Linked DNA regions of Xenopus tropicalis. The protein of the gene in region 1 interacts with the protein of each later gene in a pairwise test. Links are inferred from orthologs where the notes say so. Each region holds a gene or a part of one and is shown on either strand. Other genes may lie near its edges.

Region 1 (4,114 bases):
GGAGCTTTTAATTACAATTATTACTGGATGGTGGATTTTTTTCCCCTCAAATTCCAGTTAATAGCGGCGTTAGTGTGGGACTCACTTGGCACGAGTCAGTGGCAGCTGCTGGCGCAACCTACTGTGGAAACCCTGGAATTACTGCCAGGGTCATGGTGTTGGCAATTCCATGGTTCCACAGCATCAAAAAGCATACTGGCACACTATCAGGCACCTCCTACTACTACAGGTATGGGATCTGTTACCGGAAACTCAATTTTAACCATATTCAAATTTTAAAAAATGATTTTCTTTTTCTCTGTAATAATAAAACAGTACCTGTACTTGATCCCAACTAAGATATAATTGCCCCTTATTGGGGCAGAACAGCCCTATTGGGTTTATTTAATGGTTAAATGATTCCCTTTTCTCTGTAATAATAAAACAGTACCCGTACTTGATTCCAACAAAGATATAATTACCCCTTATTGGGGGCAGAACAGCCCTATTGGGTTTATTTAATGGTTAAATGATTCCCTTTCTCTGTAATAATAAAACAGTATCTGTACTTGATCCCAACTAACATATAATGACCCCTTATTGGGGGCAGAACAGCCCTATTGGGTTTATTTAATGGTTAAATGATTCCCTTTTCTCTGTAATAAAAAAACAGTACCTGTACTTGATCCCAACTAAGATATAATTACCCCTTATTGGGGGCAGAACAGCCCTATTGGGTTTATTTAATGGTTAAATGATTCCCTTTTCTCTGTAATAATAAAACAGTACCTGTACTTGATCCCAACTAAGATATAATTACCCCTTATTGGGGGCAGAACAGCCCTATTGGGTTTATTTAATGGTTAAATGATTCCCTTTTCTCTGTAATAATAAAACAGTACCTGTACTTGATCCCAACTAAGATATAATTACCCCTTATTGGGGAGCAGAACAATCCTGTTGGGTTTATTTCATGGTAAAATGATTCCCTTTTCTCTGTAATAATAAAACAGTACCTGTACTTGATCCCAACTAAGATATAATTACCCCTTATTGGGGAGCAGAACAATCCTGTTGGGTTTATTTCATGGTTAAATGATTCCCTTTTCTCTGTAATAATAAAACAGTACCTGTACTTGATCCCAACTAAGATATAATTACCCCTTATTGGGGACAGAACAGCCCTATTGGGTTTATTTCATGGTTAAATGATTCCCTTTTCTCTGTAATAATAAAACAGTACCTGTACTTGATCCCAACTAAGATATAATTACCCCTTATTGGGGCAGAACAGCCCTATTGGGTTTATTTCATGGTTAAATGATTCCCTTTTCTCTGTAATAATAAAACAGTACCTGTACTTGATCCCAACTAAGATATAATTACCCCTTATTGGGGAGCAGAACAATCCTGTTGGGTTTATTTAATATTAAAATGATTTTTCGCAAGCTAACAGCATGGAGATCCAAATTATAGAAAGACCCCTTATCCACTATACCCCAGGTCCCAAGTATTATAAATAATAGGTCCGTATGGAAGTACAAGGAGCATGTTTGTGTGCAAATAACCTTAAGGGCTCTGGCACACGGGGGAGATTAGTCGCCCGCGACAAAACTCCCTGTTCGCGGGCGACTAATCTCCCCGAGTTGCCATGACCCGCCATCCCGCCGGCGAACATGTAACTTACATGTTCGCCGGCGGGATGATTTCCCGAAACCGCCGAAAAAGACTCGCGAGTCTTACATGTTCGCCGGCGGGATGGCGGGTCATGGCAACTCGGGGAGATTAGTCGCCCGCGAACAGGGAGTTTTGTCGCGGGCGACTAATCTCCCCCGTGTGCCAGAGCCCTTACAAATGTTGTCGATTTGTGCACAAAGTTGTGTCTATTTTTGAGCACCGCACTTTTGGTGATAAATATGGCTTACAGAGGAAATCTCATAAAATAGCTGGTGGGTATGCCCTGGTGCTTATTCCCCCAAGAGTACAGAAGGAAGTGTGCAGCTAATCACATCTCTGCCCTCCCTGTCAGATCTGCCAGCCCACAAGATGGGTGCCCAGCCTTCAAGCCAAATGCCATTTATATGAATGGGTGTCACCTGTTGATCACCTGACTGAAAATACACAGGGTGAAAGAGAGGTGTGTCACAAGCAGAGACAGTTTACATTCATATGAATGACAGGAGGTACTGGGTGGGCACTGGGTGCTGAACAAACTACATTGGCAGAGAAACACTGAGTGCCATAAGCCTTACTGCTTAGAGAGATTATGCTTTTACACCAGTAATCACTTACAGCTCCGCCAATACAAAGTTATTTACTATATAAAAAAAGAGAATAAATATCATATAGTACAATGCTAGGGAATATGTTGGAGCAATATAATAATTATATATACATGCATATCCCTTTCCAAGGGTTATTAGGGTGCCCCTCCTAGCAAAAGCAATAAGTACTATATAAAGAGTAGGTACAAAATGTTGCAGTTAAGGTGTAGAGTGGTTGACGCAGTGAGGATTACTTGCAGGAGAAGGTGAATAAGCCTGGGAGATCATACTAATCCTTGTATGGGAAAAAGAGAGCAAGGTGCTGCCTCTGCATAGCAAAATATAACAAGCAAAGGTGGCCAAACTCTACTAGCCAATTCGAAGCCAGTATTTACCGGTCTTCTGCTTCGGCTGGTTGTAAGCAAACACCTGATTGGCGCCCATTGGCTTGGGAACACTCGGGGAGGGGATAGGACAGTGCCAAGAGAGGAGAGTACTCACCACTTTCTATCTCGCCGCCCTTCTTTGCGGTAGCCGCGTTGCCCATGGTGGGGGGCGGACGGGTCCTCTAAGTTCTGGACAAACGCCCCCCACCGATAAGTTTAAGACCTGCGATGAGAAACTTATTCAGTTACCTCTTGATTACACATCTCTCGCCAGTCCAACTGTAAAGCCTACAATATATTAATAGAAAAGGATAAAACATTACAACTTTGTAAAGTGGGCATTAATCACTATCAGTCTAGTGGCCAACTGTGCTGTGGGCTGTTTGGCCGCCACCTCTCTATCTCCATTCCAGCCCCAAGCCCTACTAAGTCATTCCTATACGGAATCACACAGAAATCAGTAAACAGATTTCCTTGTGTTCTCCTGTATATTAAATGGAAATAAAAGTGTTAACATGGTTATAGGACAGACACTATAACAATGTTGTTATCCAGGTCTAGTTGCATTACATTTCCCAAAACCCCATAACAGGTTAAGAATATTGGGAGGGGCTAGGAGTTGACCAGCACATATGAAGGACTTTTGGTGCGGTGGAAGTATGGCTGCACTGGGGCGGTTAGATTCCAGCCGGGCAATATCTCCCCGTGTCTCTGTGAAATTCCTCCAGGTACTCGGGTTACCCCACACTCCAAAATTTTAAAGGCACTGGCTGTAGATAAATCTGCCCCTGGTGTGAGAGGAACATTAGATTGCAAGCTCCACTGGGCGGGGACTGGAGTGAATAATGAAAAAAGGATAATAATGCACCCAAACACCAGGCCTAAATAGTGGCACTTAGATATATGATATTGCCCCCAGAAAGGGAGTCATAAATCCATTGCACTCCCCAAAGCAATCTGCCCCCCTCCTGCCATGCCTAGGGGTACCCCCCAGGCCAGCCCACCATACTCACACCTGTGCGGCACACCTAACAGCCACAGGACCTATAGCAGCTGCCCCCCATGTTTAGGGGTACCCCCCCAGGCCAGCCCACCCTACTCCCACCTGTGCGGCAAACCTAACAGCCACAGGACCTATAGCAGCTGCCCCCCTCCCCCTCCCCTCCCGCAATGTTTAGGGGTACCCCCCAGGCCAGCCCACCCTACTCACACCTGTGCGGCACACCTAACAGCCACAGGACCTATAGCAGCTGCCCCCCTCCCCCCATGTTTAGGGGTACCCCCGCAGGCCAGCCCACCCTACTCACACCTGTGCGGCAAACCTAACAGCCACAGGACCTATAGCAGCTGCCCCCCATGTTTAGGGGTACCCCCCAGGCCAGCCCACCATACTCACACCTGTGCGGCAAACCTAACAGCCACAGGACCTATAGCAGCTGCCCCCCACCCCCCCCCCATGTTTAGGGGTACCCCCCCAGGTCAGCC
Region 2 (4,142 bases), on another chromosome or scaffold:
AGGATGGGTGCAGCACGTGAGAAGTCCTGGTTTTACTATTGAGTGCTATTTTAAAGGAAAAAGAAAGTCAGTCACTTGGGGGTGCCAAAATGTTAGGCACCCCCAAGTGACTTTAACCGTCTACCTTTTACCCCGGGCTGGTGCCCCTGTTCGGAGAGAACAGCACCAACCCGGGGTAGCTGCTTGTGCTTCCTCCTTTGCGATTCGCTGCGCGCGCAGTAGAGTGAAGAGCCAAACTTATATTGAAGTCGGCTTTTTCGCTCTACTGTGCATGCCCGGCCACCGGCAGTTTAGAAAGCGGTGCTGTTTTCTCCGAACAGGGGCACCAGCCCGGGGTACAAGGTAAGCGGTTAAAGTCACTTGGGGTGCCTAACATTTTGGCACCCCCAAGTGACTTTGCCTTTCCTTCTCCTTTAATATCTAATGGGAGCTGCTATCTTGCTAACTTCCGACTGTTCTGCTGATTCCGCTGCTGGGGGGGGGGGGGGTATCACTCGAACTTGAAGTTTATCAGAGCACAGGTCACATGGCTGTGGCACCCTGGGAAATAAAGAATATGGCTAGCCCCATGTGAAATTTCAAAATTAAATATTAAAAAATCTGTTTACGCTTTTGAAAAATGGATTTAAATGCTGGAGAAGCTCTAGTTATTATCATATTGTACCAACAAGACATTTACTTCCTATACTTCTCTATCATGAATACATCTATGACGCAAATATGTCCATTCTGGTACCTGAGGTATTTTTACTCTGCCTCTAGCCCCAACAGCCTATATCTGCCACAGGACAATAGGAGTTTTTCAGTCAATAACATTTGAAGGTCTCTTACTCAAAAATAGCAGCATTAATTCAGTTGCGGTACAACCTGGCCTACACTGAGCTTTTACTGATTATTAGCACCATATTAAAACAAGAGAGCTGCTGCAACACTGAGCGCTCTTATCTTCACCTTTTTACACAGAGCTCATTGGCTCCCAGCGCTCCTAAGCCAAGGCCAGGCAGTAGATGACGCAGAGAGGGGCGGACCCAACGTCACCGGCCGCTGTCACTTATTGGCATGAGTGGGTGGGGCTAAGCAAGTGACATGTAAGTTCTTTTCCTGAGGGATGACAGCTCTGCTCAACTTTTCGACGCATTTACGACAGCTTCAAGAATGGACCGTGGTGACATAGAAGCTCAGGTAACGTTGCAGGTTGACAAAGCAGCCGCGTTCCCCATGTAATATACTGGCGGAAGAGGACGAGGGATTGACGTCAGAAAATAGTCCCTCCCTCTTAGCCAGTGCTCTGCCCTGTTTTTCCCGCCTCCTGTTGCGCGTTCGCGTATCCGGCCTACTCGCTGCTCTTAGGGATCAGTGCGCGCTGCGCTCTCGCCGGTTTCTGGCTGTGTGAGGTGATTCCCTGAGCCGCGGCAACTCCTCAGCGTCCGCTGGTTTGTTGGGGGGAGGGAGGGGGGACTGTGCGAGCGGAGGAACCATCAGGAATATAGAGAGGGGGGGACAGCACCCTCTGGCCTGCTTGGTGGCTCAGCTTATCCAGTGTAAGGTGTGAATAGCAGCGAAACGGGGCTACCTCCCCCCCCAACCCGGGGACGATGAGCATCGAGATCCCGCCCGGCCTGACGGACTTACTGCAGGGTTATACGGTGGAAGTGCTGCGCCAGAAGCCGCCGGACCTGGTGGAGTTTGCGATACAGTATTTCACCCGGCTGAAGGAGAAGCAGCTCCAGGATGGCGCAGGGGCCGGCTCTTTACGGCCTCACGCCCGGGTGGTCAACTTCGACGGGGAACCCATGCAGACCGAGTCTAACGGGGACGAAGAGGAGGACGAGGAAGATGACGATGACTCCGATTTCGAACGTAAGAGGCCGCATGTGCTGTGGGCAGGGCTGGAGTTTGAGAAGACGGGGGGCCCCCGGCAATGCAGGAAGGCTGGGGGCCCCCCCCCGGCAATGCAGGAAGGCTGGGGCCCCCCCCGGCAATGCAGGAAGGCTGGGGGGCCCCCGGGCAATGCAGGAAGGCTGGGGGGCCCCCGGGCAATGCAGGAAGGCTGGGGGGCCCCCGGGCAATGCAGGAAGGCTGGGGGGCCCCCGGGCAATGCAGGAAGGCTGGGGGGCCCCCATTTGAGAGGGCAGACAAAATCACATTCATCAAAGAGCTATCCTGCCCCCCAGCTTTTGTTAATGTGCAGCTCCCTGCCTTGCTCTGCTGGGGCCGATGTGCAGCTCAACACACGGGGGCTGCAGCTTGGATAGGGTTCATGTGCTCATTTAAAGTGCCCCCCCCCCCAATACTGACAGTATGAGAAGTTATTTACACTTGTAACTGTGGGACAAATGTCTTTATCCTTAATAATAATATGTAGTTCTTGACTCTTGCAACAATGTAGCTGAAGTTCTGCCCTAGATCACTTCATTTACCTGCTACTTCTACATTGTGTCAGGTGTCAGAACCAGCAGTGCAGAGAATGGAAACAGCCAGTTTATTTACCTGCTACTTCTACATTGTGTCAGAACCAGCAGTGCAGAGAATGGAAACAGCCAGGCAGATACAGTCAGAACTCATTTACAAATAAACTTCCATAACCAACGTTAATGTATATTGGAAAGGTGCTTAGAATGACATTTCTTCCTTGATGCAAGGAACCGGTTTTGAGTGGCTCTTTCGGTTTTTTCTTCCGCATATTCCTGCCCCAAAGGTGCCCCTGTGATGCTGTAAAGTCAGATGCACTACCTGCATTGACAGAGGGCTGAGGAATTGACATCTCCTCATGTGGAGCAGGGCTTCCAATGTCTTTATTTTAGTACTTTTTGTTTCTTGCCAGTGATTTTTAAAATTACCAATTACAGAGAAACTGTAAATGATTTAAGGCGCATAAGTCATTTTTTGGTGTCTGGTCTCGCTTCATAGCCTTTAGATCTTTAAAGGGGAACTCCGGCTTCTGAACCAAAATTTGTTAAAGAGCCCCACACAATAGTCATTCCTAATATACCTGTCACTGTAATCTGTTCTTTTGAAATACAGTTTTTATATGCTGAAGTCCAGCTGCAAAACAGTTCTTCTCTTTCTGCATCATTTAAAATCCTAGCAGTGGAGGAGGGACTAAAACATTGATGTTACAAATTGTAACAACTTCTCCACAGCTTACAGACAGCATGCAGGAACTACATAACCCACAATGCATTGCACCGTGAAGTTTCTTATTGACATCACGTGTGCAGGGAATTGTGTGATTGGGAGGATGCAGGCAATTACTGTTACATTTTATTTGAGTCTCAAAGTAGTCGGCCAGATCAGGCGGGGCTTAGGGAACTGTTCCAAACCATATTATTACATTAAAAATCATGAAATGGATGCATATTTTAAAATTTGTGTATTGCAAAGTTGCTTGAAATTAGCTTTACTTTTCAAAAAGCTCAAGTTGTACTTGGGTGGAGTTCCCCTTTAATAAACTTCCCTTTCAATGATGTCCTAAAGCCCTGTAAAATAAGGGGTGATTGTATATTACTTAGAAATGGTGGCAAGTACCAAGCTCCTGTGGGCAGGACACACTGTGCACATTTCTTGTCTTTTGTTGAGTTTAAAATAAATTTCAAGCTTGCTGGGCATGTACATGTTTGAGGTCTCCCTTTAGGGCAGAGGACACTACATCAGTATAAGTAATGTACCTACTAGGCAGGCTTATAGTTGCATTGTGGGATATCTGCTAGTGATGCCTGCTGCTCATTCTGCAATAGGCATAACATTTTCTCTTACAGAAACATCACTGCTGGTTATGCTTGCTGCTCATTTTCCAATAATTGCACCCACTTTATATGGAACAGTCTTCTCTAATGTTTGTGAGGTTTCCTTCATAATTGCTTGGTTTATCTCTCTCTGTAAATAATCGATTTACAGATTGTGCTCTCTGAAACCTTGTAGATAGCGTCCCACACAGAGATTAGTCACCTGCGATAGATCTCTGCTACCGCGGGCAACTAATCTCTCCAAAATGCCTTTCCTGTGGTAACAAAGGGGATCACCACTGGAAAGGCATCACTTCCGTCTTCCAAAGTGGCGCGAAGCTTCCTCCTGCAGGCAACTTTGTGGGACTTTGGAAAATGGAAGCAATGGGTAGGCCTTTCCACCAGCTATTCCTTTTT

Evidence for each region.
Region 2: the proteins of prkaca (region 1) and prkar2a interact in a protein complementation assay, tested with the Homo sapiens proteins (2 studies listed by BioGRID). The link is inferred for Xenopus tropicalis from reciprocal best matches to the Homo sapiens genes PRKACA and PRKAR2A.

Annotation. Positions count from the first base shown.
Region 1 is NC_030679.2:134,205,143-134,209,256, forward strand, and holds the start of prkaca (cAMP-dependent protein kinase catalytic subunit alpha), read right to left. Parts: upstream 2,817-4,114; 5' UTR 2,791-2,816; coding exon 2,745-2,790; intron 1-2,744.
Region 2 is NC_030680.2:136,484,670-136,488,811, reverse strand, and holds the start of prkar2a (cAMP-dependent protein kinase type II-alpha regulatory subunit), read left to right. Parts: upstream 1-1,298; 5' UTR 1,299-1,595; coding exon 1,596-1,860; intron 1,861-4,142. UniProt on the Homo sapiens protein: Regulatory subunit of the cAMP-dependent protein kinases involved in cAMP signaling in cells. Type II regulatory chains mediate membrane association by binding to anchoring proteins, including the MAP2 kinase.